Arabidopsis thaliana: one gene and its partners. The main gene of each other region encodes a partner of the protein of the gene in region 2 in a complex. Each region holds a gene or a part of one and is shown on either strand. Other genes may lie near its edges. The genes, in order: BGLU21, JAL31, BGLU22 and GLL22.

Evidence for each region.
Region 1: JAL31 (region 2) and BGLU21 share a complex: the UniProt entries of both Arabidopsis thaliana proteins name them as parts of the PYK10 complex.
Region 3: JAL31 (region 2) and BGLU22 share a complex: the UniProt entries of both Arabidopsis thaliana proteins name them as parts of the PYK10 complex.
Region 4: JAL31 (region 2) and GLL22 share a complex: the UniProt entries of both Arabidopsis thaliana proteins name them as parts of the PYK10 complex.

What each region holds. Positions count from the first base shown.
Region 1 is NC_003070.9:24,696,250-24,704,964, forward strand, and holds BGLU21 (Glycosyl hydrolase superfamily protein), read right to left. Parts: upstream 6,918-8,715; 5' UTR 6,747-6,917; coding exon 6,582-6,746; intron 6,380-6,581; coding exon 6,310-6,379; intron 6,193-6,309; coding exon 6,137-6,192; intron 6,050-6,136; coding exon 5,974-6,049; intron 5,807-5,973; coding exon 5,729-5,806; intron 5,639-5,728; coding exon 5,551-5,638; intron 5,462-5,550; coding exon 5,209-5,461; intron 5,089-5,208; coding exon 4,973-5,088; intron 4,895-4,972; coding exon 4,677-4,894; intron 4,570-4,676; coding exon 4,535-4,569; intron 4,451-4,534; coding exon 4,348-4,450; intron 4,257-4,347; coding exon 4,148-4,256; intron 4,069-4,147; coding exon 3,861-4,068; 3' UTR 3,619-3,860; downstream 1-3,618. Other genes in the region: AT1G66260 (RNA-binding (RRM/RBD/RNP motifs) family protein), read right to left, coding at 81-271, 359-427, 518-667, 1,413-1,634. UniProt on the Arabidopsis thaliana protein: Beta-D-glucosidase active on scopolin >> esculin >> 4-MU-glucoside > DIMBOA-glucoside. No activity with pNP-glucoside, oNP-glucoside and sinigrin as substrates.
Region 2 is NC_003074.8:5,578,015-5,585,254, reverse strand, and holds JAL31 (jacalin-related lectin 31), read right to left. Parts: upstream 3,688-7,240; 5' UTR 3,539-3,687; exon of another isoform or gene 3,458-3,538; 5' UTR 3,426-3,457; coding exon 3,225-3,425; intron 3,124-3,224; coding exon 2,686-3,123; intron 2,548-2,685; coding exon 2,296-2,547; 3' UTR 2,068-2,295; downstream 1-2,067. Other genes in the region: AT3G16432 (uncharacterized protein), read right to left, coding at 1,127-1,312; PBP1 (PYK10-binding protein 1), read right to left, coding at 4,581-4,832, 4,954-5,397, 5,495-5,695. UniProt on the Arabidopsis thaliana protein: Polymerizer-type lectin that may facilitate the correct polymerization of BGLU23/PYK10 upon tissue damage. Activates BGLU21, BGLU22 and BGLU23.
Region 3 is NC_003070.9:24,705,562-24,714,284, forward strand, and holds BGLU22 (Glycosyl hydrolase superfamily protein), read right to left. Parts: upstream 4,436-8,723; 5' UTR 4,177-4,435; coding exon 4,012-4,176; intron 3,854-4,011; coding exon 3,784-3,853; intron 3,707-3,783; coding exon 3,651-3,706; intron 3,322-3,650; coding exon 3,246-3,321; intron 3,123-3,245; coding exon 3,045-3,122; intron 2,956-3,044; coding exon 2,868-2,955; intron 2,780-2,867; coding exon 2,527-2,779; intron 2,434-2,526; coding exon 2,318-2,433; intron 2,241-2,317; coding exon 2,023-2,240; intron 1,919-2,022; coding exon 1,884-1,918; intron 1,777-1,883; coding exon 1,674-1,776; intron 1,591-1,673; coding exon 1,482-1,590; intron 1,406-1,481; coding exon 1,198-1,405; 3' UTR 951-1,197; downstream 1-950. Other genes in the region: AT1G66290 (F-box/RNI-like superfamily protein), read right to left, coding at 7,745-8,008, 8,096-8,236, 8,326-8,723. UniProt on the Arabidopsis thaliana protein: Beta-D-glucosidase active on scopolin >> esculin >> 4-MU-glucoside. No activity with DIMBOA-glucoside, pNP-glucoside, oNP-glucoside and sinigrin as substrates.
Region 4 is NC_003070.9:20,152,275-20,160,199, forward strand, and holds GLL22 (GDSL-like Lipase/Acylhydrolase superfamily protein), read right to left. Parts: upstream 4,247-7,925; 5' UTR 4,092-4,246; coding exon 3,833-4,091; intron 3,509-3,832; coding exon 3,390-3,508; intron 3,159-3,389; coding exon 2,690-3,158; intron 2,603-2,689; coding exon 2,274-2,602; 3' UTR 1,880-2,273; downstream 1-1,879. Other genes in the region: GLIP3 (GDSL-motif lipase 3), read left to right, coding at 1-141, 231-478; AT1G54010 (GDSL-like Lipase/Acylhydrolase superfamily protein), read right to left, coding at 6,580-6,893, 6,982-7,450, 7,805-7,923.

The DNA of each region.
Region 1 (8,715 bases), on a different chromosome or scaffold from region 2:
CAATAATCAGTGATACATTCACTTCAGCACATAAACTCAAAACTATTCTCTTGTAAAAAAAAAACAGACCGGCAACATACCCAATGAAGACACTCCTCTTCATCCTTCCATTCAATCCAGTCACATTAACACGAGCTGCGACAGGAGCAGATTCAGTATTTCCACCCAGAATCTCCAGTTTCATAGGCCTTCCATCCAAAAGTACATTATTGTATTTCCTCATAGCTTGAATTGCATCACTTCTTCTCATATACACAACTTCAGCCGATCCCTGTATGACACAGAACATCAGATATCAAATATTACAGAAACACGGTAATGAACAGATAAACCATAGCAAAAAGAAAACAGAACTTACACTTGGACGCCCATTTTTGTCATAGTGAATTGCATATCTTTTCAGCTCTCCAATTTCAGCATAGAGTTCCTAGATTCCATATGATAGTACAAACCAATTTCAGAAAACTCCACAGAACCAAAACAACAGAAGCACTGGAACATAGATGTCAGGCTATACCCTTATATCTTCATTTGTCACTCCCTGATCAAGGTTGGTAATATAAACTGTGGTTCCGACTTCCACTCCTGATACCCCAACAGCTCTAAGGGTTTCTTCATACAAATCATTCTGATTCTGCCATGGCAAGCTCCTCTTCCTGCGGGCAAGCTGATCCAGTAGAACATATCAAGTCAGCTAAAAGGGTCTGTAGAATCTTGAAGCCACATTAATCAACAAATTTCTTGAAAGAGGAGAAAACACCCATTTGGCTGAAAGTACTAAAGCAAAGAGCTCCAGGAAGAAGTAGTCAAGAACCATCCAAGGAGATACCAAATGAAACGTAGGGAAACAAGTAAATTTGACTAACTTCATATGAATCATACTGGTGTTATCAGTCAGTCTCTGAAGCCAAAAACGAAAACTGAGACTGCCGTCACACTCCGAAGAAATTCCAGATGTACCATCGTGAACTTCATGCATAGTGCAAATACCCCCACTTTGATAACCCATCATAAATCCTATTTACTGTTAAAATTTCTGAAATTCCCCCTAAAACCACACACATTTTCAGGCTTTATCCCCCTGTAGATAACCCTATGTGGACTACTTAGCTTAAAGGAGCTCCTCAATAAACCTATAGCGAGTGACAATATCAACCGAAAACTTCTGCACATCTATTCATGCCTCTTGAAGTTCCCAGATTTTAACCATAAAAACCACTAATTGCAGGAAAGAAGCTTTTCTAAGAAGATGTTAGAAGATTCTTGTAATCTGAATCATCATCAGAAGTAACGGTATATGCATGTATGATTCTTCTCCAAGGACAAAAGAGCATTAAAAGATCATCCATCTTAAGTTTTAGCATGCTTCGGTATTTGGTGGCACAGAGTTCCAATCAAGATTTCGAGCTTGCCTTGTTTATGGAGAAGGATGATGATGGCCGAGTATTAACAGCAAGAGGACCTCTACGAACAGGTCCACCTCCTCTTCCACCTCCTACAACACCATTAGGTCCACCACGTCCACGTCCACTCTTACGGGAAACTCCTTTACCTCCAGACCTTGCAGCTGCAGACCTTTCACTCTTACTCTTCTTCACAATTTCATCAAGAGTCATATTCAAAGCGTCTGACATCTTCAATCCAATAAAATCAAACTAAACCTGAACAAATTGGAGTTTAGAAAATTACAATTAGCTACCACCAACACAATGACAACACACGCCATCAAAATCGAAGGAGATCAAGCAATAATTATAAAATTCAAGCTCAAATACACAAATCAAGGACGGTGAATCATATCCACTGCTCGAATTCAAAGATCTGATTATCGGAACATATGAACCAATAGATTCCTAAAACCTAGAAAACAATTCTCATAAGCGATATCGAGAAAACACGAATCACTGCAAAATTTTAGACGGAAACTCGTAATCGCATCTCAGAAACATAGATCAAAGCCCTAGATCTAGATTCGTAATCGAAAAAGTGAAATCAATCGGAAACATTATACGCGAAACCAGATGAATCGAGAATCGAAACGTTACCAGATTAGGAGAAAAGACAGATCGGAGAAGATCGAGAGATCTGTGTTAGGGTTTTGAGGAAGCTTTTGGGGATTTTTTTTTTCTCTTGAGGATTTGATGAACGAAGGGGGGGAAATAGTTTGTGATTGAGATTACTGGTTAATGGAGAGGAGAAGGTATCTTTTTTTATATAGGACTAGGTCAGCAGGGTAATTATGTAACTTTTCTCGATTTAGGGGGGGCGTTTTGCGTCTCTTATCAAAAGTAGACAATTACCAAAAAACCGTAAGGGAAGATTGCCAGCTATGCGTTTCCGCGTTTAGTTAAAAATAGTTTATAAGATAAGGATTATACTTTTCGAAGATATCAAAAATGCCCCAGTTGTTTTTCTAATTGATATGTTGATACTACAATTTTTTTTTTTTTTTTTTATTGTGTATATGTAAGAATCTATCAATCTATCATTCCTACGGAACCTTTTTGGTACTCCTGAAAAACAAATCTTGATCAAACCTATATTTGCATATGCAGTTTAAGATTATGTCCAGTGGTGAGAACCTTCTATAGACTCTCACTATTTTTTTGTTTTATTTTTTTTTGGAAAGATTTATTAATTTTGTTATCTTTCCATGGTAGGTTCTCCAAGTAGGGTTCTTTAAAAGAAAGTGTATATGATCCTTTGTGGCTCAAGATCAGTTCCAATTTTATTATGTGATCCTTGTGCCTTGTAATAGATGTCTAAAGATGAGTGTTAAAGAGAAAAACAAACCAAAAGACATGACTCACTACAGAGCATAAATTACAGTATATGCATATATTTCAAATCTTACCAATTTGGTAGGTCTTGTCTTTCCTTTTTTGACAGACAATCCTTCCAACTCAGCTTCAAAGCTATCAATCTACGACTCTAGTTCACTCACTCACATATCAAAAGCACGAAAATAAGTAATGAATCAGCTACAGTACTGATAGGAGATGCTCCAAGAATTCTCAATTTTACAAAAGAAACAGTCTGAAAGTGAGTTGGCCTTTAAATTTTTTGCTTTTAAAAAAAAAATCTTGAAAATCACTATTTACATAAATCGTTTTTGATAAGTGACTACTAGTAAGATAGAATGTGATGATTTCATTATTAACACATACGTTTGATTGTTTTTTTTTGTTTTTTTTTGCTTGCTAAGAATGAAATATGAATTTCCAAAGTAATGAATGATGTTGGTATTGCATGGTGGATTTATTTGGTTGCATCATGCATGGATTTTATTTCCTTAAGGTATATAGAAAATACGCTTGGCCAAATGAGTGAAAAAGAGATATCTTCTCTTGCTGGTCGTCCTGTTTTTTAATCTAAACTAGTGACTTTCAAAAATAAAATATTAGAACTGTTTGGGAAAATGAATTGCCATTGTTTATTTCATCGCCAACGTTTAAGTTGTTAGTTTTTGAAATGTTTGTACTTAGTTGTTAAGACGACGTCAAATTATTTCCTAATCTATTTCTATGTATAGAGGTAAATTCGTATTTTTAATTTTCTAAAACTAATGATATTTTCTTACATCATTTTGTAACTCATAAATTTTTTAATGTTAAGGTTGTATGATTCAATTTTTCTTCAAGTTTGGAAGGTAAAACATATTTAACTTCACATATTGATTCTCAAAAAGGATAACGTCATTAAAACTAAAGCCTTCTTGATCTTGTCGAATAAGCTAGAGATTGAAGGAAAACGAAACACTTTTATTATTATTAACCACGACTCATGAATCGTGCGTGGTCAATCACAAACTAAAACATAGGAAAAACATCGAATAGAAAACGAAATCCTCAAAATATAACTTAAAGCTCATCCCTCTTGAGTGCGGATGGACGAACACCTTGAGCGAGGAAATCTTTGTAATACTTGGCTGATTCTTTCTCATAACGTGTGAGGTTATTTTTGAAATCGACGTAATAGAGTCCGAATCTGTTTTTGTAACCATCTTGCCATTCGAAGTTATCCAACAATGACCATACAAAGTATCCCGTAACTCTCACCTTATCGATGCTGCACAAACACAATTATGTTCTTAATTAGACCATTCAATAGAATCGTTAGTCAATCTATCAAATAATAAAAGGCTTACCAAATAGCCTCGTTCATAGCCAGAAGATGCCTCTGAAGATAATATTTCCTGTTATGATCAGCAGTACCAACGTCAACCGAATCTGTGGTCCCAAGTTTATCTCCATATCCTAGAAAAAACAACATTATAATGATCAGTATATTACTCTTAAGAGTTAAGATTAAATCAACACACAAATATAACAATAAATCTCGAGTTACCATTTTCCATTATCATAATCTCCGGGTTTGCGTATTTGTCCTTGATGTACTTTAAAAGCTTTCTAAATCCTTTAGCGTAGACGGGCAATGCAGCAGTAAGAGGCTGAAATAAAGCAATGGTGAAAATGTTATGTCGTAGACAAAAATTAACAATCACAAACTAGGACTAGTTTAATCAAACGCTTACCATGCTACCAATGGCGCTGTGATCTACATTCTTAGCTGAAAAATAAAAAGTGAAAATGTATGCATATCAATTAGTATTATAAAACCTTTTATCTTTAGTTTCTTGGTTTGGTTTCATGTACGGAAAACAAAAAAAAACTTACGTTCCCAGGAAACAAGAGAATCTTGCTTCCAACTTGGTTTAGACGGATCTGGCTTCTCATTATAATTTGAAAATGTCGAAGTATAGTAGTTAAGCCCTACGAAATCGGTCGAATCTTTCAATTTTGCTTTTTGTGCAGCAGTAAATTGAGGCAATCTGTAACCAAGAAGGTCTTTCATGATTTGTGGATAATCTCCCGAAGTAGTTGGCTCCAGATGCCTACACAAAATTAATAACTACATTAATTTTTATGAAATTATATACGAGAAACCATTTTCTAACATAATATATACTTACCATCCCAACATAAAGTCAAGTACACGGCTAACAGTTGGAGCGTCATTTGAATCTTTAAGATCATGTGGTTCGAACCAAGCCGGACTATGTGCGATTCCGATTTTCCCACCTTTAACCTATGTCCATAAACACAACACAAAACAACCTATTTTAAGATTCGAAACCTGATAATTAATTGTGATTTATATCTAATGTGACCTGATAATTAATTATGATTTATATCTAATGTAAACTACCTTTTGGCGGAAAACTTCAACAGCTTCTGCGTGAGCGTTGAGGAGATTGTGACTGACTAGATAAGCCTCTTTACCAGATTGTCCCTCTCGGTCTTCGCAACCTGGAACGTAGCGAGAACAACGTCCTGGTGCTTTCTTTCCTAAGTCGTAACCTGCGTGAGCAAAGACCCATGGCTCGTTGAAAGTGATCCAGTTTTTCACTTTTCCACCGTATTCAGTGAAAACATAATCTGCATATTCTCGAAAATCTTTCCTGTATTTTTGCAAAAAAAAAAGATACCAAATTAATAATTTCCATATAAACTTAACTAAATGTATTTTGTTTAATTTACAAAAACATACACAATGTTTTGGCTTAAGAAACCGCCATATTCGTCTTCCAAATCTTGTGGAGTGTCCCAATGGAAAACAGTCACAAACGGAACTATACCTATTTATGACGTAAAATAGAAAGAAATGTTAAATAAGGATACTATATTACTTGTATTTTTGTGAACTAGGTATTTTATATGTATATAACCATTTTTAAGGAGTTCATCGATGAGCTCGTGGTAGAATTGCACACCAGCTTGACTCACTCCCTTCTCCTTTCTCCCATCTAATAAAGCATTACAGTTTGTTTCATTAGTTATTGATACTTCAACATTCACATATACATCATCTAAATTCATTGGTTATTAGTATTATATAACAATCACATAAATCTAATTTCACCAAATTCGATTAAAACAAAATCAAACTAGAGATCTGCAGACATATACTCACGAGGAAATATTCTTGACCATGCGATTGAGAGTCTGAATGCATCTGTGTTTAGATTCTTCATTAGCTGAATATCTTCCTACAAACATTTTTAAGACAAGGCAAAATTTCAATAACATCTCGAGAATATAAGTTATGTTTGTCTTAAATTTATATTAATATATACCTTATAACGATGGAAGAAATCAACGGCCACATCGGCGTGGTCGCCACTACATCTCTCTGTAATTTGAAAGTAATTAAGAAAATTAATGGCTATGTATTGATATTAATTAGTTAAATTTAATTTAATATTTAAACATACTGTATTGAGAATGTAGATTATACGAGTACACTCACCTGGATTTCTTCTACAGTAGATATCCCATAGAGCCGGTCCACGACAAGTTTCATTAATTGCACCTTCGACCTAATGACATAACAAAAAATAGTTGATGAGTTGAGGAATATCACATGCACAAATGATTTCAAATGATAGGTATAACATATTTTGAGCAACTTTTACATAAAAAAAAACCATATTTTAAAAATATGGATTTGAATTCAGATAGAAACACAATAACGACACTACTTTTTGTTTTTTGAACTATGATTTAGTAAATCTGTTGTACCTGAAACGCAGCAGTAGCCGTGCCAAACAAAAACCCATTAGGGAAACTTGCTCGGCTTAGCTTGGAAGTCGCCGGGCAAACAGGATCATCAACCGCTGTTGTCACAGAGACGAGGATGGTTAGGAGCAAAAGCAGCCCCATGAGAGGAAACTTTTGCAATGCCATTTTTGTTTTTAGTTTCTTCTGGAAGAGAACAAGTTTATGATGATTTGTTTACATCCAATCGGAGTTCTTTATATAGCGATTTTGATTGTTTGTTAACGAGTGACTAAAATATAATTGTTTAGTAAAACTATTTTATATATAGGATGATTCATTGCATGACCTCGACCGTTGTGTTCTTACTTAGTTTGGAACATATTATATTGTGCGTGGAACTAATATAAGTTCTTCATCCATTTTGGATTTAATTATTTGATTAGTCCATTTTGGATATCATAATCTCCCAATATGATTATTTGTGTTTCATAATAAACCTTTTTCGGAATAACTCTTATGTACTTTGTCTATGGTTTCGATAATTAACTATGTTCATATATATATAAATATATAATATTGGTGTTTTATATAATTTAATAATTGTATATTATTTATTTGGTAATTTTTGGTTTAAACCACTGTCGCATCTACTGCTAAGCCAATCATAAAATTGCCGTAAATACACATATTTTTAACTGTAAACCAGTCATTTAAAATGTCCGATAACGTTTAAAACCTCAACCAATTACTTCCATTAACTTCCACAATGACAACCACACCCCGTTGCATTTAAACCAACGAAAACCCTAAATAATAACAAGCCTATTTTTGATACTCAAATAATTGGAGACTTTATTATTTTTCAAAACTTAATTGTAAAAACATATTTTTTAACTTGTTTAACGAACATTACTCTTAATCTTTCATAAATCAGTTTCTAATTCGAAAAAAAGTTATACCTTATTCTGAAAAAATTCAGGTAGCAAGTAAAGGATCTCTCATTTAATGTTTGGACTAATGAATGACTAAACTATATGAGTATGTATTTAGTAAGACTATTTTTATAGTATATAGGATGCTTCATGGCACGATCTCGATCATTGTATTATATATAGTTTAGTAAATCTATTTAATAAATAGGATGATTCATTGCATTATCTCGATCATTGACTAATTCTTACTTATTTTTCCTAGTTTGGAACATATTATATTGGGCGTGGAACATATAATATAAAAACGTGACTTAAAAATATATCATGTATGTCCAAAAAAAAAGTTTACAGCATGAGGAGTCCTCGAACCAATCGGCCGGCCCTAAGTCAATGGATCATTTAGTGCCTCGTATAGATCTAGATCGAGTTTTGGATCTTATTTTGTTATGGACGTTAAGTTATTAATGTGTTAGTGACTAAAATATAAATATATAATACAACTGTTTAATAGGATGACTCATTCCATGATCTATATGGTTTACATTACTTTTTTGTTTTCCAATATATAGTCCTCGTGTCTAAAACTCTAAACTAAATTATATCCTCTTTATATTTTATAATTGACACATTTTGCGCGAATAAAAAGACAAATCATTAACTATACAAATATACCATTACTTTATTAGATGATATTTCCTCTATTTCAAATTATATGATGTTTTAGATTAAAACACACACTTTAAGAAATTTATTTTTAATTATAAAATTTGTTCTCTTGATATTAAAAATACAAAATACAAACCAATAGTCAAATAATCAAATAAAATATATTTAAAAATTGCATTGATATTAGTAAAACATCCTAAATAAATCTCTGAAATATCCTATATAATGAATCAGAGTGAGTGTTAAATTTAAAACAAAAATATGAATAAATTAAAGAATAAACGTGGAAGTTTATTTGAAAAGTAAAATTGGAAATTTAAAATAACATGTTTTTTTTTGAAACAAAATAAAAATTCCACAAGAACACTAGTGGTTGTTATACAGAAGGACTATTATTAAATATTTTAAATTGGATGATTTCATTGCACGATATATAAACGTTGAGTTGTTTTTTATTTTTCTAAATCTTGAACGTATAATATTCATCATGCATAAACGTTGAGTTGTTTTTTTTATTGAACAGAAATAAAAATCCTCAAAATATAACTTAAAGCTCA
Region 2 (7,240 bases):
TCGTTGTTTCGCGACTCGTGAATCGCGATCTTTAGTCAGATTGGGGTTATAAAAATGGATCAGCATACTAATTCAAAATCTTCTATAAAACGTTAAAGTTGACGTGTACGTCGACCCTGAAACTCGTTGACGTGGTGTGTTGTCTACGCGTGTTATTCAAGATCCAGATTGCGGAAATTTAGTTTTCTTATAAAAAATCCGCTAGGGGTAATAAAATACTTGAAAAACGATTTTCTTCACAAAACATGAATTCGCTCGCAAACAACTATTTCAAGTAGTAATGTTATATCATTCTACTCTACTGTTGTATTAAACTTCTCTCAATAGACTACTAATAAAAAAAAGGATATGAAGAAAAAATTGCTAAGAAAAAGAAGAAGAGGATAAGAATATAACAAGAAAATTAATTTCATGGTGATTTCAAGGTTACCGATAATTATAATTCTAATAACTAATCTTTTTTCAAGTTTGGTTGCTTGGTTGAAACGAGAGTAAAGGAGAGTAAGGTTTCGCAGCTTGTTGGTAAGCTTTTCAAGGATTGGTCGCTTCTCACTAATTATGAGCACAATAGACGGGGTCGTATTTGGGTTCTATGGCGTAAGAATGTGCGACTTAGTCCTATTTATAAGAGTGGTCAATTGCTGACTTGTTCGGTGAAGCTAGAAGATCGACAGGATGAATTTTTCTGTTCCTTTGTCTATGCTTCAAACTACGTGGAGGAGCGAAAAGTTTTATGGTCAGAACTGAAGGATCATTATGATTCTCCCATCATCATCAGATTTAATCCCTTTGGCATAATAGTCTTGCCAGCTTCAAGACCAAAGGGATTAGATGTTCGCATAATAGTCTTGAACCTAAGCATATGATAATGACCGCAGAGTCACTTCCAAAGATTTAATCGCATGTGCCATCGACAGCGGTGATGTATTCACTTGGATAATCAATGTCGAACTACAATGAAATCAAGCAAAACAACTTAATCTTGTCCGATGGAAACCGGTCTGACTTTAAGAAGGTATAAAATAACTAGTATAGTCACAATAGTCAAAGACCACAATGCCTAGGGAAGTTGTGGGATTAAACGGGTCACTTATTAAAAAAAAAGTCCGTATCTCGACCAACCAAGTTATAAAATAAATGGGTTCAAAATGCGTTTGGCCCGTTTAGGCCGCAGCGATATATAAGTACCTCTTTCCGTGTTCATCTCCAGCAACAACTTGAGAAGCATTGGCATACTCAAACTAACCGTGGACACACAATCGACAATCGTGGCCTTGACATATATACACCTTAACACTGTTGTAAGCACCATGCCACCATCGTCCCATGCAGTTCTTTTATCACTACCAAGTTCACCTTTTGAGCCATCATTGTTTGATTTTTACCAATCTTTGGAGTTTTTTTTGGGGTAAGAAGTGAAGTGAAAAAAAATATCTAAAGTTTAAACCGTTCACCAATAAGACTCTAATCTATAAAACAACCACTAGACTACGAAACATTTTTTCTTAGGAGTTACTAAAACTGCAAAAAACAAATTGTTAATTGCAACTATTAACCAAATTTTACTATAATATAGTATCATAAGAGATATAAAGGATGAGGATAAGTGGTGATCCATCCGAGTGGGCTGTACGTTAATTTATTGACCTCTTGGAATTAGCAAAGATATTTTACCAAAAAAGAATCTAATTAATATTCAAGAATAGATCCACATATAGGCCTCATTATTTAATTAATTAACACAATTCTAAATAATAGTAATCCATAATTCGTGATCCACGTTGAGTATTAAATTATTTTACCCAAGAAGGCTACATACTTTTATTATTTTCTTTATTTTTGGCCAACTCATATTATTTGCAACTAATAATATTTTTTAGCCGAAAACTTCTATATTTTGGCCACAATCTAGATAAAAAAAATTACGCAGGTATTTTTGTTTTGGAGAAAAGAAAACACCTATATTTTGGATCCAAAAAAATTTACTTTTGTTTTAAATTGTACAATTCGTACATTGAGATTTTTGTTTAATTATAGTAAGAGAATTAGTATCAGACGCAAATGGGAAATATATATCGGAACATTTGGGGATATAAAAATTAGAAGAGATGAAACAAACTTCCTTAATTAAAATGGAACACAACCACATCAAAGAAAAACCGGCAACACAAGATACAACACTTAAAAGTTAAAACACTTATCAGAGGTCACCAGAGGCATGAAGAGACCTCAAATGACCAATTTATAAGATAAAGATAAAGATCTCCATGGAATCAAAGATAAAGATCTTCATGGTCAGTTGGAAACGGGACGGACATGAACTCCAATTTTGTGGAGCAAAGCATCGGCTCTTCCATGGAAGCCAACGATTTTGTGGCCTTCCTCTTTGAGTTCGAAGGCAGTGCCAGCTTCAAGTCCAAAGGGAGGGGACGTTTGCTTATTAGTCTTGAACCTAAGCATAGTTATGACTGAGCCATCACTCCCAAAGATTTTATCGTAGGTGCCTTCGACTGCGATGATGTATTCACTTGGATAGTCAAGTACGAACTGCAGTTATTGGAACCTTGAATACGTCATCATGGAAATCGAAAGAAAATTTGAATTCTCTGATCAAAGCATATATATAGCTATATGTATATAACATTCATCAACAACAAAAAAAAAAAGAGAAAGAAAACATTATACCTCTTCGAATCCGAGTAGAGTACTCTTTCCATGTTCTTCTCCTGTGACCTCCTCAGGGCTTTTGTCGTATACAAACTTAACAGCCGATATACCATCTTGGGCTTGTCCTACGTACACCTTCTTAACCCCAACGTAAGCACCATCATCCCATGCTGTTCCATCATCACTACCAAGTGCCGGTAGCGGCTTGGCAGGAGTCAATGGGATAGTCAACGGAGCAAAGTAAGCTCCAAGAGAATTAAGATTGTCTCCGGCAGACCCATGAAAGCCAATGATCTTCTTGTCTTGAACTTGGAGAAATGATCTAGTACCACGATCGTATCCAATGAAACGAGAAGTCTTTTTGTTGGATATGAACCTAAGCCCTTGAATAAGACCATCAGGTTTATACCAAATTTCAATAGAAACTAGATGCTCCTCAGGATGGTTAATCACAAACTGTAGAGATCAAGTTCAATATGTCAATACTTCAACGTAAAACAATAGATTTTCTATAAAAATTAGAAGAAGTCAAATAAGCAAGGAAAATGTATAGGAACCGGATCAGTTGGAATGGTACTGCCTTTGATACCACGAAGAGGAGTTTGTTCGGTTTGTCCGTTCTTGACGTAATCGAACTGAATGTATTGAATTCCCATTCCGCCTACTGCAACCTGAATCTTGGTCACGGCGTCATGATCGGATCCATCGTCCCATTGGTTGCCTCCTTTCCCTCCTTTTGCTTCAACCTTTTGAGCCATATTTTGCTTGCTGATCAATCTTACTATAGTTACTATAATTGGAAAAAAAAACAAATTGTGAATTTTCAATTATTAACCAATTTTGTACTAATAGAGAGGAAAAGAGAGATGACCTTCAAAAGTGAGTAGATTGTGATCGATTTAAGTGAATCATAGGTGTTTATATTGACTTCTTGCATATAACCATATATCCGCATATAGGATCATTGATCGTACTAGCAGAAATAATAATCTATTATTTCGTGATCCACGAGGCATATTTAAAACATTACCGGAAGAAATACATGTTCAAATATTCATATACTCCTTTTTTACTTCCACAGCTTCTCAACTAATCGTCTTTATATTGGTGTTGGCCAATGAAACGATGGCAGCAAGCTAATTAGTTCTTTTAAAATTCACAGAGTCGTCAATTTTATTATATACGTTATTACTTGTAAAGGGTGCAAGTTGCAATTTATATAAGTCAGAATTCTACAATTAGTGACCCCCTTTTTAGGACTCTAATTGGTTGACGATTTGATAAGTCTTGTAAGAACATGTTTCCACAGCATTGTACATTATTTCAAACAGTAAAAGTATAATTGAAATCACCTAAGAGAAATTAGAACCAAGAGTATATATATAATACAATTTTCTGTAACGCTCAATCTAGAAACAAGAACCGGTTCGTATTTTTTGGCCAACTCATATACTTTTAACTAATAACTTTTTATGTTTGGAGAAGGCCAAAAACTTCAATATGGTCACACATTCTAGATAAAAACTTTGTGCAGGATTTTTTTACTGAGAAAATACGAACAACTATATATTTGATCCAAAAAAGTTAACATTTGCATTTTAAATTGTACAATTCATACGTTGAGATTTTAGTTTGAATTATAGCAAGTAAAATTAGTATCAGAACCAAATAATGGCAAAAGTAAGTATTATAGAACATATAGGGAAACTAAAGATCAGATTGGAACAAACTTCCTTTATTAAAATAGAGCACAAGAAGAACAAAGAAAAAACAACATCGCAAGAGACAACGCGTAAAACACTTATCAAAGATCACCATTCACCAGAGGCATGAAGAGACCTCATATGAGAAATTTAGAAGATAGATTTGATAACTTATTAGATGCATGGAATCAAGGATAAAGAGCTCCATCATCAGTTGGATAAAGGACGAACATGGACTCCAATTTTGTGGAGCAGAACATCGGCTCTTCCATGGAAACCAACGATCTTGTGGCCTTCCTCTTTGAGTTCGAAGACTGTGCCAGCTTCAAGTCCAAAGGGAGGAGACGTTTGCTTATTAGTCTTGAACCTGAGCATAGTTATGACTGAGCCATCACTCCCAAAGATTTTATCATAAGTGCCATCGACTGCGGTGATGTATTCACTTGGATAGTCAAGTACGAACTGCAGTTATTGGAAACCAAATAAAACAATTGAATACATTATGATGGAAACCGGAAGAGAATTTGAATTCTCTGATGTATAATTTTTACATTCAACAAAAAGAGCAAAGAAAGTATTATACCTCTTCGAATCCGAGTAGAGTACTCTTTCCATGTTCTTCTCCTGTGACCTCCTCAGGGCTTTTGTCGTACACAAACTTAACAGCTGAGATTCCATCTTGGGCTTGTCCAACGTACACCTTCTTAACCCCAACGTAAGCACCATCATCCCATACAGTTCCGTCATCACTACCAAATGCCGTTAGCTGCTTGGCAGGAGTCAACGGAGTTGTAGTAGTCAACGGAGCAAAGTAAGCCCCAAGAGAATTAAGATTGCCCCCGGCAGACCCATGAAAGCCAATGATCTTCTTGTCTTTAACTTGTAGAGTGAAGTGAGTACCCTCATCGGATCCAATGACATCAGAAGTCTTCTTGTTGGAGATGAACTTAATTCCTTGAATGATACCTTCAGGGCTATACCAACCTTCTACAGAAACTAGATGTTCGTCTGGATGGTTAATCACAAACTGTAGAAATAGATCAAGATGAAAATGTCAAAACTTCAAAATATAACAGTATACATATAGAAAGAAGAAGATTAATGGGCAAGGAAAATATAGGAACCGGATCAGCTGGGAGAACACGGCCTTTGGTACCACGAAGAGGAGCTTGTTCGGGTTGTCCGTTCTTGACATAATCAAACTGAACATATTGAATTCCGTCTATGCCTGCTGCGAGCTGAATCTTGGTCACGGCGTCATGTGTCGATCCATCGTCCCATAGGTTGGCTCCTTTCCCTCCTTGTGCTTCCACCTTTTGGGCCATCTTCTGCTTCTTGATAGTACTTACGAATTTCTGTAGTTGCAAAAATAAATTGTTAATATCTACTATTAACCAATTTTTACATAATAGAGAAGAATAGAGATAAGACCTTTTAAAGAGAGTAGATTGTTATCGGTGCTATGATCAATTAAAGTGAATTGTATGTTTATTTATATTGACTTCTTGATATTGATCGTACTAGATGAAATAATAAGGGAAATAATAATTTATTCTTTCGTGATCCACGAGGCATATTTATATAAAAAGCATTACTGGGAAAAACGCATGTTCATATACATTTTTTTTTTTAGATAATGAAAATATTCATATACTTCTACTTGCACAACTTCTCAACTAATCGTCTTTATATTGGCGTTGGCCCATTAAACGATGGCAGCAAGCTAATTCATTGTTTTAAAATTTAAAGAATCGTTTATCAATTAGATTATGTACGATTAATTATTTGTAAAGGGCTAAAGTTGCAAGTTGCAACATATATATACGTTCTCCTTATTAAGAGTCTAATTGGTTAAGATTTGGTAATTATTGTATGAACATGTTTTAAAGCCTTAATCATAATTTAAAAACAGTAACGTTTAATTCAAATCACCGAAGATTAATTAGAAGTTTAGAACCAAAGAGGAGACTAGATATATCATACAATATTCCGTAAAAAAAATCTAGATACAAGAACCGGATCATATGGATCTAGCCATAAAGAATACTCCAAAATATCACAACTAGTTTTAATAACTCTTAGGGAAATTTACGAATTCCTCTGAATTCAAAACTGCTTTTTTTTTTTTTATAACTGATTTATGAAATATTATAAAATTTTGCGAAGAATATTTCTAAAACAAATTCTGTATTCGTTGGTAAAAAGATTTATAATTGTATCATTTACACTGGTACTAAATATTAATCTAATTGAGAGACGCTTAATATGATTCATAAATTATCAAAAAAGCTTTCTAGCTCGACTGCAAATGTACCATGGGATATTCCAAGAAGTCGCACGATCGAATGAAAGCTGGTACGTATAAATTATTAAAAGTTGATCTAGATCATCAATCAAGAAAACATCCTATTTAACAAAAACAAAGGTTAACATGTAGTATGTATTTATTTATATAATTATCTGTTGCGAATGTGAAACAATCGATAGAAATTACACTAGCTAAGTAATTAATAATAACTATTTGATCATCTATAACTATATTATTCAATACTTATATGATCAAAATATGTAAGCTAGTGGTTTTTGGTATTTCTTGTTGATGTGTTACCTTTCTAGTTGAAACCTGCATATTTACTTATTATTAAAAAATAAATTCAGTAATAATATACCTACGTCTTGGCATTATCTATTTAAAATGAAGTGGGTACAAACTTATAATTAATATAAATAAAAAAGAGATTTTAATATTGCAATCATGTTCCCATCACTTCATCAGTCATCATAAATAGCACCCCAATAATTTAACTTAGAGTAAACAATAGTTATTGAGATATGAAAATCATTCCAAGATAGCAACAGCCAGCCAACAG
Region 3 (8,723 bases), on a different chromosome or scaffold from region 2:
CATAACCGTAAAATCACGTTTTCTAGTCAAAAACGTAAAATCACGTTTTTCCGCCAAAACCGTAAAATTTTGTTTTTCGCCAAAACCGTAAAATCGAGTTTTCCCATCAAAACTGTAAAACCACGTTTTCCCGCCAAAACCGTAAAATAAATTTATAAATGTAAAAAACTATTATTTGAAATTTATTTACTTTTAAATATATTTTAGATTAAGAATTAAAATTAACATGTTTACAAGTAATAATAAAAAATATAATTAGATGAAAGCATGGGTAGTTTAGGTATTTGTATTATTACAAATCATTTGGATGGAGATAGAGATAAGCAAACGAACATCTCATTCGGATGGTCCAGTCAAATGAACCGACTAAAAATGAAACGAACAAGAGTTAAATAAATCATCCAAATAGACATGTTGAATGGATCAGTTGGATGGATCTATCAAATGTAGAAACGAACAGGGCCTTAAAACCTTGACCAAAGAAATCTTTGTAATACCTGGCTGATTGTTTCTCATAACATTGAGATTATTTTTAAAATTGACGTAGTAGAATCCCAATCTGTTATATTAGAACCATCTTGCTGATATTATGTTGTGTTCATTTTTATGTACATTGTCTTATCTTATCCGATATCAAATTATGTAACTTGATTTTATCTAAATTGTTTGGAAAGATTAATCTCAAACTTGTAGCTACGGTGTGACATCTTATCCGATCTCAAATCATGGTGATTTTCTAAAAATGTTAAACTATTTCCATTGTTTTATTTCATCGCCAAGCGGTTTAAGTTGTTGAAGTTATTAGTCATTAAAATATTTGCACGATTTAGTTGTTAAGACGACGTCTAGTTATTGCATAATCTATTTCTTTAAATAGAGGTAAATTCGTATTTTCAATATTTTAAAAACTATGATATTTTTACTTCATATTTAAAAACATCAGTCCTTTTGTAAATTTAAGACTTTTTTTAATATATATAATACAATATTTCTTCATGTTTTGAAGGTAAAGATACCTTCATATAAGGATAATATATTTATACTAAAGCATTCTTGATCATGTCAAATAAGCTAGAAACTGAAGGAATACAAAACACTTTTATTATTATTAACCAAGACTTCATGAATCATGATCAATCACAAACTAAAACATAGGAAAGAAGCATTGAACAGAAAACCAAATCCTCAAAATATAACTTAAAGCTCATCCTTCTTGAGCGCGGATGGACGAACACCTTGACCGAGGAAATCTTTGTAGTACTTGGCTGATTCTTTCTCATAACGTGTGAGGTTATTTTTGAAATCGACGTAATAGAGTCCGAATCTGTTATTATAACCATCTTGCCATTCAAAGTTATCTAATAATGACCATACAAAGTATCCCGTAACTCTCACTTTGTCAATGCTGCACATACACAAATTTTCTTGATTAGATCATTCCATAGAATTGTTCTCTAAATAAATAAATAGTAAACGGTTACCAAATAGCTTCGTTCATAGCTAGAAGATGCCTCTGAAGATAGTATTTCCTGTTATAATCAGCAGTACCAACCTCAACCGAATCTTTGTCCTTAAGTTTATCTCCATATCCTAGAAAAACAACAACATTAAGATGAATATATATTTTAACTCCAAACTAAATCAACACACAGTAACCATAAATCTCGAGTTACCATTTTCCATGATCATAATTTCCGGGTTTGCGTATTTATCTTTGATGTACTTTAAAAGACTTCTAAAACCTTTAGCGTAGACGGGCAATGCAGCGGTAAGAGGCTGAAAATAAAACAATGGTGATAGATGTTATGTCGTTGAGAGAAATATTTTAATTGTTTAGTTGTTAAAACAATCTCAAACTAGGACTAGTTTAGTTTAACGCATACCTGGCTACCAATGGCGCTGTGATCTACATTCTTAGCTGAAATTTAAAAGTGAAAATGTATACATATCAATTAGTATTATAAAGAAAACATTTTCTCTTAGTTTCTTGGTTTGGTTTCATGTAAGGAAAAAAAAACTTACGTTCCCAAGCAACAAGAGAATCTTGCTTCCAACTTGGTGTAGACGGATCTGGCTTTTCATTATGGTTTGAAAATGTTGAAGTATAGTAGTTAAGCCCTACGAAATCGGTCGAATCTTTCAATTTTGCTTTTTGTGAAGAAGTGAATTTGGGCAATCTGTGACCAAGAAGGTCTTTCATGATTTGTGGATAATCTCCAAAAGTAGTTGGGTCTAGATGCCTACAAATAATAATCAAAACTCCATCAATTATATGAAATTGTATACAAGACCCCATTTTATCAAAGTATATACCTACCATCCCAACATAAAGTCAAGTACACGGCTAACAGTTGGAACGTCATTTGAATCTTTAAGATCATGTGGTTCGAACCAAGCCGGACTATGTGCGATTCCAATTTTCCCACCTTTAACCTACAAAATGTCCATTAACACAACACAAAACAAATTATATTCATATCCAAAACCTGATAGTTAATTTTGATATATATATCTAATGTAAATTACCTTTTGGCGGAAAACTTCAACAGCTTCTGCATGAGCGTTGAGGAGGTTGTGACTAACTAGATAAGCCTCATAACCTGATCGTCCATCTCGGTCTTCACAACCTTTAAGGTAGCGAGAACAACGTCCTGGCGCCTTCTTGCCTACGTCGTAACCTGCATGAGCGAAGACCCATGGCTCGTTGAAAGTGATCCAGTTTTTCACTTTTCCACCGTATTCAGTGAAAACATAATCTGCATATTCTCGGAAATCTTTCCTGTATTTTTGCAAAAAATGATATTAAACTAATAATTTCCATATAAAATTTAATTAGATGTATTTTGTTTCAATTTACAAAAACATACACAATGTTCTCGCTTAAGAAACCGCCATATTCGTCTTCTAAATCTTGTGGAGTGTCCCAATGGAAAACAGTCACAAACGGAATTATACCTAGTTACAATGTAAAAATAGATAGAAATGTTAAATAATGATACTATATTTCTTGTCTTTTTTAATTAATTAGTTTATATGTATATAACCATTTTTAAGGAGCTCATCGATCAGGTCGTGGTAGAATTTCACACCAGCTTGACTCACTCCCTTCTCCTTTCTCCCATCTAAAAACCCGTTAGTTTGTTTGATTAGTCAATAAATGTAAAATTCATTAGTTATTGATTTATATATCAATTCACCAAATTCGATTACTAAATCAAACTAGAGATCTGCAGACATATACTCACGAGGAAATATTCTTGACCATGCGATTGAGAGTCTGAATGCGTCTGTGTTTAGATTCTTCATTAGTTGAATATCTTCCTACAAACATTTTTAAGACGAGACAAATTTTCAATAATATCTCGTATAATATCAGCAAACTAAAAGTATAAAATATAAGTTATATTTGTCTTAAAATTATATTAATATATACCTTAAATTTATATTAATATATACCTCAACTTTATATTAATATATTATATATACAGTGTGGCTCCTCTCAAGGGTCTAACCATTTCAAAGTTTTGTAAGCATCCTCTGAGTTAATTTTCTCAAAATTCTTTTCAAACAAGAGGCACTTTATTGTAAAGATGTTTTTTTTCTTTTGAATATACTTTAAATTTAGATTCAAAATACATATATATATTTACCTTATAACGATGGAAGAAATCAACGGCCACATCGGCGTTGTGGCCACTACATCTCTCTGTAATTTAAAAATAAAAAGTGAATGAATTTAGATATCTAAAGATATTGTATAGAAAATATAGATTATACACTCACCTGGATTTCTCTTACAGAAGATATCCCATAGAGCAGGTCCACGACAAGTTTCATTAATTGCACCTTCAACCTAATGACATAACGAAAATAGCTGATGAGTTGAGGTAATAACATATGTTTGAATTCAGCATTTGGACTTAGGCTTGAATTTTGATGGAGACACAACACTAATACATATTTTTGAAGTATAGTGTAGTAAATAATTCATTTTGATGTCTCACAGTTTACCTGAAACGCAGCAGTAGCTGTGCCAAACACAAACCCATTAGGGAAACTTGCTCGGCTTAGTTTGGACGTCGTTGGGCACACAGGATCATCGACGGCTATTGTCGAAGAGACGACAATGGTTATGAGAAAAAGAAGCCCCAGGAGAGGGAACTTTTGCAATGCCATGGTTTCTAATTTTTGGTCTTTTGGAAGAGAACAAGTTTGTGATGATTTGTTTACATCTAAACAGAGTTCTTAATTATATAGTGATTTTGATTGTTTGGTAATGACAAATAAGTCACTAAACTATATTTGTTTAATAAATTTATTTTATATATAGGTGTGTTCTTACTTATTTTTCAAAGTTTGGAACATATTATATTACGCGTGGAACATATAATAAAAACGTGCCTTTAAATAAATAGTGTATCCTATCAAAAAAAAAAAAAAATCGTGTATGTCCTATAACTGAAGTCTTCATCTATTGTTGCACCTTCGTCTTAATAATATTTCTCGTGTTTAACGAGCAACAATATTAACATTTAATCTTCCATAATCAACGGATCTCTCATTTAATGTCTACTTTCAAATATGCAACCAGATCTGTTTTACAAGAAAAGAAAAAGATATGCCAACAAGGCCTCGTTAATCATTTTCTTTAATTTTCTATAGTAATGATCCAGATCGAGTTTTTGGATCTTACTTTAGGTATTATTGACGTTTAAGATATTAATATTTATTGAATAAACTTTCATTTACTTATCCCACTAAGATAGTATACAATTATTTAACTATTGTATACGATGGTGGTTAGGAGCAACGTGTCCCCATGAGAAACTTTTGCAATGACATTTTGGTTTTTAGTTTTCTTTTTTTTCTTTTGTCTTGATTAAGAAAACAATTTTAGGATGGTTCATTTATATGTTAGTGTCGTTTTTTATAGCGATACTGATCTCTCATTAATGTCTTGTTTTTAATATGCCACAACCAGGCCTCGTTGATAATGTTTATTTTATTTTACTATATAGATAGATCTAATCATCCAAATGGTGTTTTCGATCTTATCTTAATCATGATTATTATTGACGTTTTCATAACTTAATATAATCTTTCATTATTGGTTTCCGCTTGACTATTATTTAAATAGGATGATTCATTCGATGAGAGATCCCGGGTGACTAAGCTAAACTATACAATTATAAATAAGAAAATCTAGTGTATGACCTATATCTTCAAAATCTTGAACCTGTAGTAGTCGTCCTGATCATAGGATACATTGGTAACTTATGGACCGTAAAACCTAAGCAAAAGACCTTATAATGGTTATCAAACAAGTTATTAGATATCAAGACACAACCTCCAATTAGACTGGGAGTTTGGAATGAGTAATCTTCGGTTTCGGACAAACAATTGGTCACATTCTAGTCGCATGCTGACTGCTGTCAGGACAGTGCGGTAAAGCCTAATTAAGATCAACGAAATTTAGGCATCAAAATTAAAATATAAATGTGGGGCAACTTTTTTGCCCAAAAAAACACAAATTGGGGTAACTATTATTCACCAAACATTTTTCTTGGTCGATCAATTGGTGGTGTAATTGATTATTTTTCTTTCAAACAACTCAATGAGAAAGTCCATTTAGATTTGGAATGACCATTTCTCAAAATGCTACACTTCATGGCCTTTGTGATCGAGGACATTGAAAGCTACTATTTACATGATCAGAAAATCTGGTAAGTTTACAAGTCCATATATATGTCAAATATTGTACCTTGGAAGAAAGCAACTTAAAAATATGTGTATTCCTCTTAGCTGATGCCCTACCAAAGCACATTGCGACTCACTACTCTCGTCTAGTCGTCATAGAAGAAGAATACACTGCGACTAGTTTTTTTTGCTCTCCTAAGAATGAAGAAACGGTTGGTACAATCTTTTACTAACTATGGCCAGTTCAATTACTTACCCTTGGTTACTTCAATGATCTGGATCAGTTAAGAGTCTTTGTGTATCTTTATGGCGTAGTCAAGGAAATGGAAACTTCCAATTAAATATAAAACTATTAAATACTAAAAAATAAAATAAATTCGACATGTGTCACGATTAAGCAACAAATATATATTAAATGTGACTGAATGAAAGTCGTTGTATAACTCCAAAATAATGAAGCTTCCTTATATATCATTAAAAACACATGTAACGACAATCTCTCTTGGTGTTTGACTTTGAAGGTGTTCTTGTTTTACGTCACGATGCATCAGCAATCACATTATTGTACTTTGATAATATTGTTAAGTATTAACAATATAATAGGTTCCACCTTCCACGCATTATGATCAGTAAATCACATTGTAGATTATTATTACTTTGATAAATATTTAAATCGAATATGTAGTAGCTAGAAACCTTTTTTTAACATACCATCTTTTTTCGTTGATAGTATTGCGCTGACGCTTATTTTGCTACTTGATGGCGATGCACCATCTATCTGTAAATAGATTTTTAGCATATTTAAAATACTAAGGTTTAGCCCGGGCTACGTTTGGTACTTATTTGGCGATAATTAATTTTAAGCTAGTTGAATTAGTTTTATTTTTAAAATTCATCAAACCTAACTCCACTACGGTGATACATGACTTCATTTTTGTTACATTATGAAGTTGATCAGGGTATCTTTATCGAACACTGTAGACATTAAAACAAGTATAAAAACAGATACATGTATATTTTCTTGGTACATACAATTTCGGCATTTCCTCCAACTGTAAAATAAGCAAAGATAAGTGACACATGTTTACACTTTACATAGTCCTCACCACAGCCATCATCTAACTCTCTTTGCTTCCACCACCACCTCCGCTTCTCCCTCTGAACGTCGGTTGCGAGTTGCGACCACCTCAGGTCCGTCTCTCACCCATGGAAACATGGGCATCTGCTACGGTCCACAAATTAAAAGGTCCAAAATTTGTTTGTATTTTAGTTGTTGGAGTTGGAAAAAAACAATAGAAGAGCCCTTTATATGTTGAAGATAAAAGGCCCCAAAAATTATTAACTTAACATAACAGGCCCATAAAACAATTAACCTAGTTAACTAGTTTAAAGAATTCAATCCGAATCTTCCTTATTGTCCTCCTTTTAGTTTTTGAGACTCACTCAGATCATGATCAAAATCACAAGCTCTCTAATTTTCTTCGGTCGTAAAGCTCATTAAAGCCTAGACATGTATATCTTAAAAGCTCCTAAACAAATAGATCTTAATTTTCCAAGAGTTTAATTATAATTTAGTTCCTAGAATGTTTAATCCTTGGGTCTTAGTGTCTTACAAAGATCTAATACTATTTTAGGTTAAATTTGAAGCATCTTTATTTTATTTTTCGTTTTTGTAATCCATTATCTATTTTTCTACTCGAAGTCTGAATTACTAATGAGCAAAAACATGTCTTTGAGTCAAAAGAAGTAACAGCATTACACATTTAGGCCAAACATAAGATCTCTTAAGATCTACAAGACATTCAAAGTCACCACAATGAAGAAGAAAGCAAATAGTTCACATAAATAAAGAGTTTCTGAAAATTTGAATCCTTGGTTCTTACACGAACCTTATTACATTTTTGGTTCAATTGAAACATTTAAGACAAACATATGATCTTCTTACAGATCTACTACACAACAAAGTCACCATAATAGAGAAGGAAACCACAGAGTTCACATTAATAAAAGTACAGAAAGGCAAACCTTGTATGTTCTTCAACGAGGATCAGAGAACGATGACTCGGCAAGAGGTCGAGCATCTTGGAATTGTAATGAGTTCTCTGAGGATGACACAAGATTTCTTTCTAGAAGAATGATCCAATGATAAAGTGAGTTTCTTGAGGATTGGTGAGTTCTCAAGTAAGTATCTCACTAATTCCATCTTCCCCTTGTCCAATGCAAATTCTATCTTAACATACTCGAGAGATGATAGGAGACACCGAGGTTCAGATATAATACTAGTTCTCTTCCTTGGAAAGTAATCAGATTCCTGATATTACACCCAAGTGAACGAAACAAGTTTGAGTGATTATGTTACCAAAGAAAGTTGATAAGTTTTAAGTAAACAAATCCTTACCAAGACCAGGGATTTTAAATTCGAGCAGCTCTTAAAAAAGAATGGCAATATTTCCCATCTTTTCTGATAGAATTCAACACTGAAGAAAGATAAGTTAGGAAACAACGGCAGTGGTTCACATCTTGAGTAATCATAAATGACCTACAACAAAAATAAATACAAGAAAAGTATCAGAATAAAGTTATACATGATAAAGTAAAACAATAAAATACGAATTCAACAAACGATACCTCAAGAGTACATGCAGCGATTGTCATAGTTTTGACACGAGAGAGTCCGACAAGAAAATTACGAATCATTTCTCTCTTTGGCAGATCATCCGGATCAAACTTTTTCCCCCGACAAAAGTTAAACTCAATATCGATATCCGCCTCTACAAGGGAACTCAGATTCTCTATTATGAAACTTGCAGTTAATTGATGTGAGAGCTTGAGTTTCTCAAGCTTTGGAGCATCCAATATAACCACTAGATCATCACGAAAGCTCTTACTACTAGAGCCGTAATAGTTGAAGCTTAATAGAGATTGAGAGATGACACGTAAAACTCTTACATTGTCAAGGTACCTTCTGCATAACGTAAAGCTTTCGAGGACTGGGCAGCCTGACATAAGCATGTCGAAAGCGAACT
Region 4 (7,925 bases), on a different chromosome or scaffold from region 2:
TCGCTGAGCTTATCGACATGCACAACAAGAAGTTTCCCGATGTTTTAAGGCGGCTACAACGCCAATTATCGGGTTTTAGATACGCCCTTCATGACTATCACACTTCTCTTTCCGAAAGAATCAACAGTCCTTCAAAATATGGTTACTAAACTTGGTATTTACATATATGTAAGAGATCGATCTATAGGTTACCTTTAAGAACATTTTGTGTTATGTTTGTTAATTTTTAGGGTTCAAGGAAGGGAAGAAGGCATGTTGTGGAAGCGGACCACTGAGAGGAATCAATACGTGTGGAAACAGAATAGGACCGTCGCAAGGTTACGGCCTATGCGAAAACGTTACCGATTATTTGTTCTATGATTCCTCTCATTTGACGGAAAAGGCTCATCGACAAATCGCAGAGCTGATTTGGAACGGGCCGCCTAATGTCACTAGACCTTATAATCTCAAAGCTTTATTTGAACTTAGGCTTACATAAAAATCGCCTATATGTATGTATATGAAAATAACTGACGAGGTCACTATATATTGTCTAATAATGTTAGTCATGTAATTTTTTGAGTTAGGATAATAATAAAATCGATTAGTTTTTTTGTGTGGAAAGGAGAACAATTCTATGGTGAAAGTAAATAAACTTGATGAAATACTAAGGTACAAAGACAATTAGATAGACACAAGAAACAAGCATGTCGTAGCAGAAACCTTATTATTAGGGCTTATTTGCGTTGACCTTTCTTGCACGGGAAGATTAGCCGCCAGCGCGAGAAAAACCATTAATAACCCTACGACGATTGTTAATTTTTTTGTACGAATGTAAATTTGATTCACCAAAAACAACTTTGTTTACATTATGCAATAATTTGTTTAAATTTAAATGTTGAGCTTAAATTTTAATTAGGAAAACAGTTTGTATTTTGAAATATTAGAGACGTCTTGTGGCAAACCAGTTACACAAAGCATCATCAAACTTGCCTTTACCGTGAGTCTTTAGATCGGACTGTTCGATCGATATCCTTGATGAGGTTAGTCGCTGTTGAAAGTTGTTCCTCATGTCTTCTCATATTTTTTTCTCTACATATTGTATAAACTGCAATTTGGAAAGTACATGACCTCATATGTGTTGATGTGTGAGACTGTAGTGTGAACCAGAAACTTCGGCAGTCACCAACGTGTTGAATAGTAATATAAACAGTTGAGTTTTTCAATTATATACGACAAATAAAATGTTACCATATTAGACGGATCTACTATATTTATCATGTGATGGATCCAAATCGTTTTACTACTATTTTATGGAATTAATTATCAACATTGAACGTAGATAAAGGAGAGATAAAGTCAAGATCGGTGTGTTGCTTCAATTATTGAGATTTTTAAATTATACTATTTCAATTTGTATGTTTTAACTTATGTCCAGATTTAGCGTCATTTTTTTCTTATTTAAATAGAAAAAAAATACTTAAACTTATGACCAGATTTAGCGGATGAGATTTGTTTGGTCTTATTATATTTTTATTTTCCTGTCGCTTATGATCCACAAAATCAGATCACTAATGCCCACTATATGTATTTACTGTAATAAAATAATCCCAACTGGTAATGATATTTATTTTCAGTTTGGGAGTATTATATTTTCCCAGCTGGTAAAAGATACTTTATCATATTCGTTTTATAATTATAATTAGCTTATTGTTGGGTCAAAAGAAACCAAAAGGAATTAGCTTATTATTTTAATTCGGTGTCATAAAACGAATCAGTCATATATTTTTACATAATTTATACTTACTCTGTTTCTTTTTGTTTAATTGTTTAGAAAAAAAATTATTTCAAAAATATTGATTTTTTAGATTTTTAATACAATAGTTATTAGTTATAATTGATAAATTGTAAACTTCAATACAAATTAGTAAATATCATTGGTTTAGAGTTATTGAAAATTGTAAATCACAAAAAACAATACATTTAAAAGCAACATTTAATATATTTTCTTAATATTTATGTTTTTTCTAAAAAATCAAACAAAAATGAACAGAAGGAATATAAGATATCGAATAGATTAGAGTAAATCGATAGACTAATGAACTCTCGATAAATTCCAGGACGTGGAAAGAGTTGATAAGATCAATCTTTTATTATAGAGAAAAACTCACTAGAGAAACAGGAAAACATTGCAAATCAAAAACATCAAGATTCCGATTTTGATTCGGTTATAAATTAACTCATGACCATTGTAGAAAACCTGATTGACCCTAAAGATTGAGTTTTAAAAAGACTCAGTAATACTCGTAACCGCGGCTAGTGGACGAGCTAGAGTCGCTGGCGTGGACAGTAGCTGGCGTTGGAGGCACCCAAAATTCACGCATGGGTTCATCGACTGGGTAAACAGTAAGCTCACGGACGTTCATCGGTTGGACAACATTTGTATCGGCTCCAAAAAGAAGATGGGCAAACATTTCTTGCGCCTTCTCGGAGTTGTGACGTCCGTCGAAGAATAGGAAAGACCGTTGGTACTCACATAGCTTCGAATGCACGTTAGGTAAACCGCAACCATAAGCATCGTGAGATCCAACTCCGCAGCACGATGCGTTCGTGACGAAAAACCCTAAGAATGACAAATATTAATGACTTGGTATTAGAAGTTATAAAACTAAAACAAATGAAATTAAACCATGATAATTAACCAACTCACGGAAGTTTTGGTTCCTCTGCGTCCTAGTAAGAACGGCATTGTAGAAATCAAAGACGGTGAATTGGAAAGGAGCTGATGCAGGAGAGTTTCTAGCCATTTCGTTCAACATCGGTCCAATTTTTTCGTTGTGTTGTTTAGCCAAATCGTTGAGTTTCTCATAGCATTGATCCATCCCGGTGTTGTATTCTTGTCTGACGATGGGTAAGCAACCCAATGGAGCTAAGGTTTGGATCACGAATTTACTCGCTCCTGATGAATACAACGCGCTAATATCGTTCTTTAACTTGTTGGTCACGGAAGTAACAAAAGCTTGTTGAGCAGATGCATCAGCGGTAGGGTTGTTCTTGGTGAAATTTAAGTAATCGTTTGCACCAATGTATATCATAAATACTGACTTTGCCACGAAATCATCGTTCCAATTTGCTGCTTTCATTTGATTGAATTTTTTCACTTGTTGATTCAGAGTCATCTAAAGAACCAAAAAAGAGAAAAAGACAAAAATTAAACCAATATTATAAGTGCAATTAAAGTAAAGCTTATTGATATTAAGTCACATGCTTTTCTGTGAAGTAAAACAAAAAGAATCCCGCTTAGTATGACCGGGTCAATAATAGACAGATATAATTGATTTTCTTTGAATTAGGTGTTGACTATAGATATATACATGACTCTTATATAATAAGAAATTAAGTTTACTTACAGATTCCACCGGAGCTCCGAGTAGAGTAGCACCTTCGACGGCGAAACTAGCTCCACGTGAGACATTGACGTTCGGTTGAAGCGCCGGCGCGATCGCGAGCGGAATCTTCATGAATTTAGCTGCATTTTGTATTTTAAAAATATTTTAGTTTTTCATATAATATCAAATCATTCCTTGTACTACATCTCCGAATCTGTTGACGAAAATAATAAATAAAATTTCATAGAATGTGTCCCGAAAAGTGAATAGCCGCTGAACCAATGCATTTATAATCTTTTTTTTAATCATACTATTTACTATTTTTTAAGTAATTCACTAGTAGCATACTTAAAATGCATTTATAAATACTACTGTTTATGATTATTTTTACGTAATCATACTATTTTTAACATACTTAATGTTTTAAAGATTAGAGTAGGATTCGATTAGAAAAGAAGTCGTACCGAGGAAGTCCGGAGTGATGAGGCCGTCGGAGAATTTGCCGTTGGGATCATCTCGAGATTTTCCGTACGGCCAGAAACCTTGAGCGACTAAGGTTTTGGTGAGAGTCTGTTTGTTTCCGGCGTCGAAGTTGGAGTCACCAAAGGTGAACAAGGCGACCACCGGACTATTCTGTCCGGCGACAGTGATGGGGTTGTGAAAGAGGGTCAATACCAAAATTACACATAGAACACTGACTAAATTACAGTTGTTTGCCATCATTTAGAGAGAGGGAGAAACAGAACTGTGAAAAGAGAAGAAGATTGCTTTTGTGCCTTAGCTCGTAGACCGATTCGTTATATTTATATTGCAAGTACTACAATTTGGCAATGAAAATAATAGTTCATTTTACTATACAAATAATAACGTGTAGCGCGAGGTTCATTTTACTATACACCTATTTAACGCACTAGCAAACGATTATCGATCAATTATATTATATAGTTCGCTTAATCACGTCTGACGCATTACTGGTTTCTCTTCTACTTTATTTTTAATTCTCAACAAAATATCTATTGTTACTACGAGTACCAAGAAAGATCGTGCTTTTTTTTTTTTGGTTCAACAACAACTTACAATTACACAAGAGTCTGAATACACATAAGCTTTAACCCAATCCGGCAATATAGAATACAATTTGGGATCATAATTCAGAAAAGAAAGAGATTCCCTAGCAATTCTATCTGCCACACAATTCCCTTCTCATCGGGTAAAAGTCACTTTAACCTCTTCGAAGTGCTGAAAAGATCGTGCATTTAGAGGCAAGAAGTAGAATTAAACATACAAATTTCACGGAAATATAGGGTGTAAATGGTAACACTAAACCAGATTCAGTAATTTCTGCAGTAACCATTTGCATAAAACTAAATTTTGCTGACTAGCCAAATTCAACAAAAAAATTTCAACACCAACATATACGTAGATATGTTTATTTCTGCTAAAACTTTTGGATAATTTACGAGTACACAACTCGAATTAAAATATTTTTAATATCAAAATACATATCAAATAGATATTTTTAAATAAGTCAGATTATACTGATACGATATATGAATAATATAGATACATAAAATATCACTACCAGAATAGACAAGAGACGAATATGTTCGGATAATTATAGATAATTTGGATAATAATTTTAATAACGTTTAGATAACTTAAATCAATTATTAAAATTTTGCAAAAACAACTCATACCTATGCTAAGATATTCTTTAAAAGATAAATTATAGTAATTTCCTTAATCATCCTCATCATATTATTGATTAAATTACTTGAAAACAATTAAAAAAAACAATTAACAATCTATATTTTATCATCATGTTAATTTTTGAAATTATTTTCTTAATAGTGTTTTGACAAAGATTTTCGTTAATTATTTACATATTTTTAATAGTTCAAATTTAAATAAGAAAGAATAACTCAATTTTGCGTTGACACAATCTTAATAGTATAGGTAATAGCTTAGTTATGTATATATAAATTATAAAAACTTGTGGAGAGTTGTTCCTTAAGATTTACAGTGAAGATTAGAGAAGATTAAGTTTTGAGAGAGTGTCTATATCAAATACAGAAGAGTTGGTCCTTATTCGTTTGTAAGTTCTAGTAATTATCAATTTGATTGGAATCATTAGAACGACAGAAAGGTGAACAATTTTGTTTCTAAAAGAGTGCAGAAACTAGATAAAAATAAAACACATTTGCTTACGTGAAGATGAAGTTTTATATGAAGAACGCCTCATTTGTTTGGTTCATCTATTATCTATATATATGATTTTTGGTTTTATTTCATATGAAAATTAACTGTAAATATAGCCGGCCCCAAAGCCAGATGTATAAACTTATCTTTTCTGGAACTTTATAATTTCTACTTTTTATTTTCTTTGTTGCCAATCATTTCGAATATTACCTTGCAAGAATAATTGCAAACAAAAAAAGAGGGTAAAAAAGGTCTCAAATTGAATCCACTACCTTCTTAAATTGATTCCACCAAAATTTATCATTTTGTTCTAATGGAGTGCATGTGGCCCGAAACTTGTCTAATCTGAGCACAAAGCAGGTCATTGGACACGCTTTGGTTCATATTGTCAGGTTTATCACGTTACTCATTGAGATTTTTCTTATGGAAAAAACAGAGTTGAGGTTACATTATTATTTTAAATCTCAACAAATTAATAACAGCGCATTTCAAATTCCAAGAGCTCGTTCATGGTATAGAGATGGAAAATAGTGAGCTCAAGAACTAAACGAGTTAGATAGATTCACTAGCATCGACGTCGACGTCATGGACTAACGATGATATTCTCATCCATTGGATCCTCCCAAAACTCACGCATAGGCTCATTAACAGGATACACAATGAGCTCACGAACATTCATAGGTTGGATAACATTTGGGTCCGCTCCAAAAGATAAGATGATGAGAAAACGCTTCTTGTGCCTTCTTTTTTTAATTATGGAATTACCTTTTAATATGTGGTTGACAAAAAAAAGAAATAAATTTATGTAAAAGTTTTGTTTCTTTTAAATAAAAGATTTGCAAGGGGTAAGAGTTGCAGAGATCAATCTTTTATTATGGAGGAAAACTCACTAGAGAAACATGAAAACATTGGAAATTAAAACTACTCAAGATTCCGATATTGATCCAGTTATAATTTGACTCATAACCCTTATAGAAACCCCGATCGATCCCTAAATATTGATTTTAGAGACTCAGTAATACTCGTAACCGCGGCTCTCCCTGAGTTGAACGGTGGCTGACGTTGGGGGCACCCAAGACTCACGCATAGGTTCATCGGCAGGGTAAACGACAAGCTCACGGATGTTCATCGGTTGGATAACATTTGTATCGGCTCCAAAAAGAAGATGACCAAACATCTCTTGCGCCTTCTCAGTGTTGTGACGTCCGTCGAAGAATAGGTAAGACCGTTGGTACTCGCATAGCCTCGAATGTACGTTAGGAAAACCGCAACCATAAGCATCATGTGTCCCAACTCCGCAGCACGATGCGTTCGTAACGAAAAATCCTAAGAATGGCAAATATTAAACACATGGTATTAGAAGTTATAAAAAAATTTAAAAATGAAATTAAACCATGATAATTAACCAACTCACGGAAGTTTTGGTTCCTCTGCGTCCTAGTAAGAATCGCGTTGTAGAAATCAAAGACGGTGAATTGGAAAGGAGCTGATGCAGGAGCTGTTCTAGCCAATTCGTTCAACATCGGTCCAATTTTTTCGTTGTGTTGTTTAGCCAAATCGTTGAGTTTCTCATAGCATTGATCCATCCCGGTGTTGAACTCTTGTCTGACGATGGGTAAGCAACCCAATGGAGCTAGGGTTTGGATCACAAATTTACTCGCTCCTGATGAATACAACAAGCTGATATCGTTCTTTAACTTGTTGGTCACGGAAGTGACAAAAGCTTGTTGAGTAGATGCATCGGCGTTAGGGTTGTTCTTGGTGAAATTCAAGTAATCGTTTGCACCAATGTATATCATAAACACTGACTTCTTCACGAAATCATCATTCCAATTTGCTGCTTTCATTTGATTGAACTTTCTCACTTGTTGATTCAGAGTCAACTAAAAAAACAAAAAAAGACAAAAAGACAAAATTATAATTGCAGTTAAAGTCAGATGTCTTTAATAAAACAAAAATATGCCGTTTAGTATGATCCAGGCTAGTCCATAAGACAGGTCAAGCACATGCTTTAGACCAGAAGATATATACTAAATCATTCGCCAAAAAAAATAAAAACAGTAATTTGGTAAAACCTTTAATATATTTTATATCATTAAGAAGGCCATCTTCCAATTGTGCTAAGGCCACCTGAAGGTAAATTAAGGACCGGCTATGTATGACCGGGTCAATAAAAGACAGACATGGTTCATTTATTTTGAATAAGATGATTATAGTAAGAAATTAAGTTGACTTACAGATTCCACCGGAGCTCCGAGTAGAGTAGCATCAGCGACGGCGAAACTAGCTCCACGTGAGACATTGACGTTCGGTTGAAGGGCCGGCGGGATCACGATCGGAATCCTCATGAATTTAGCT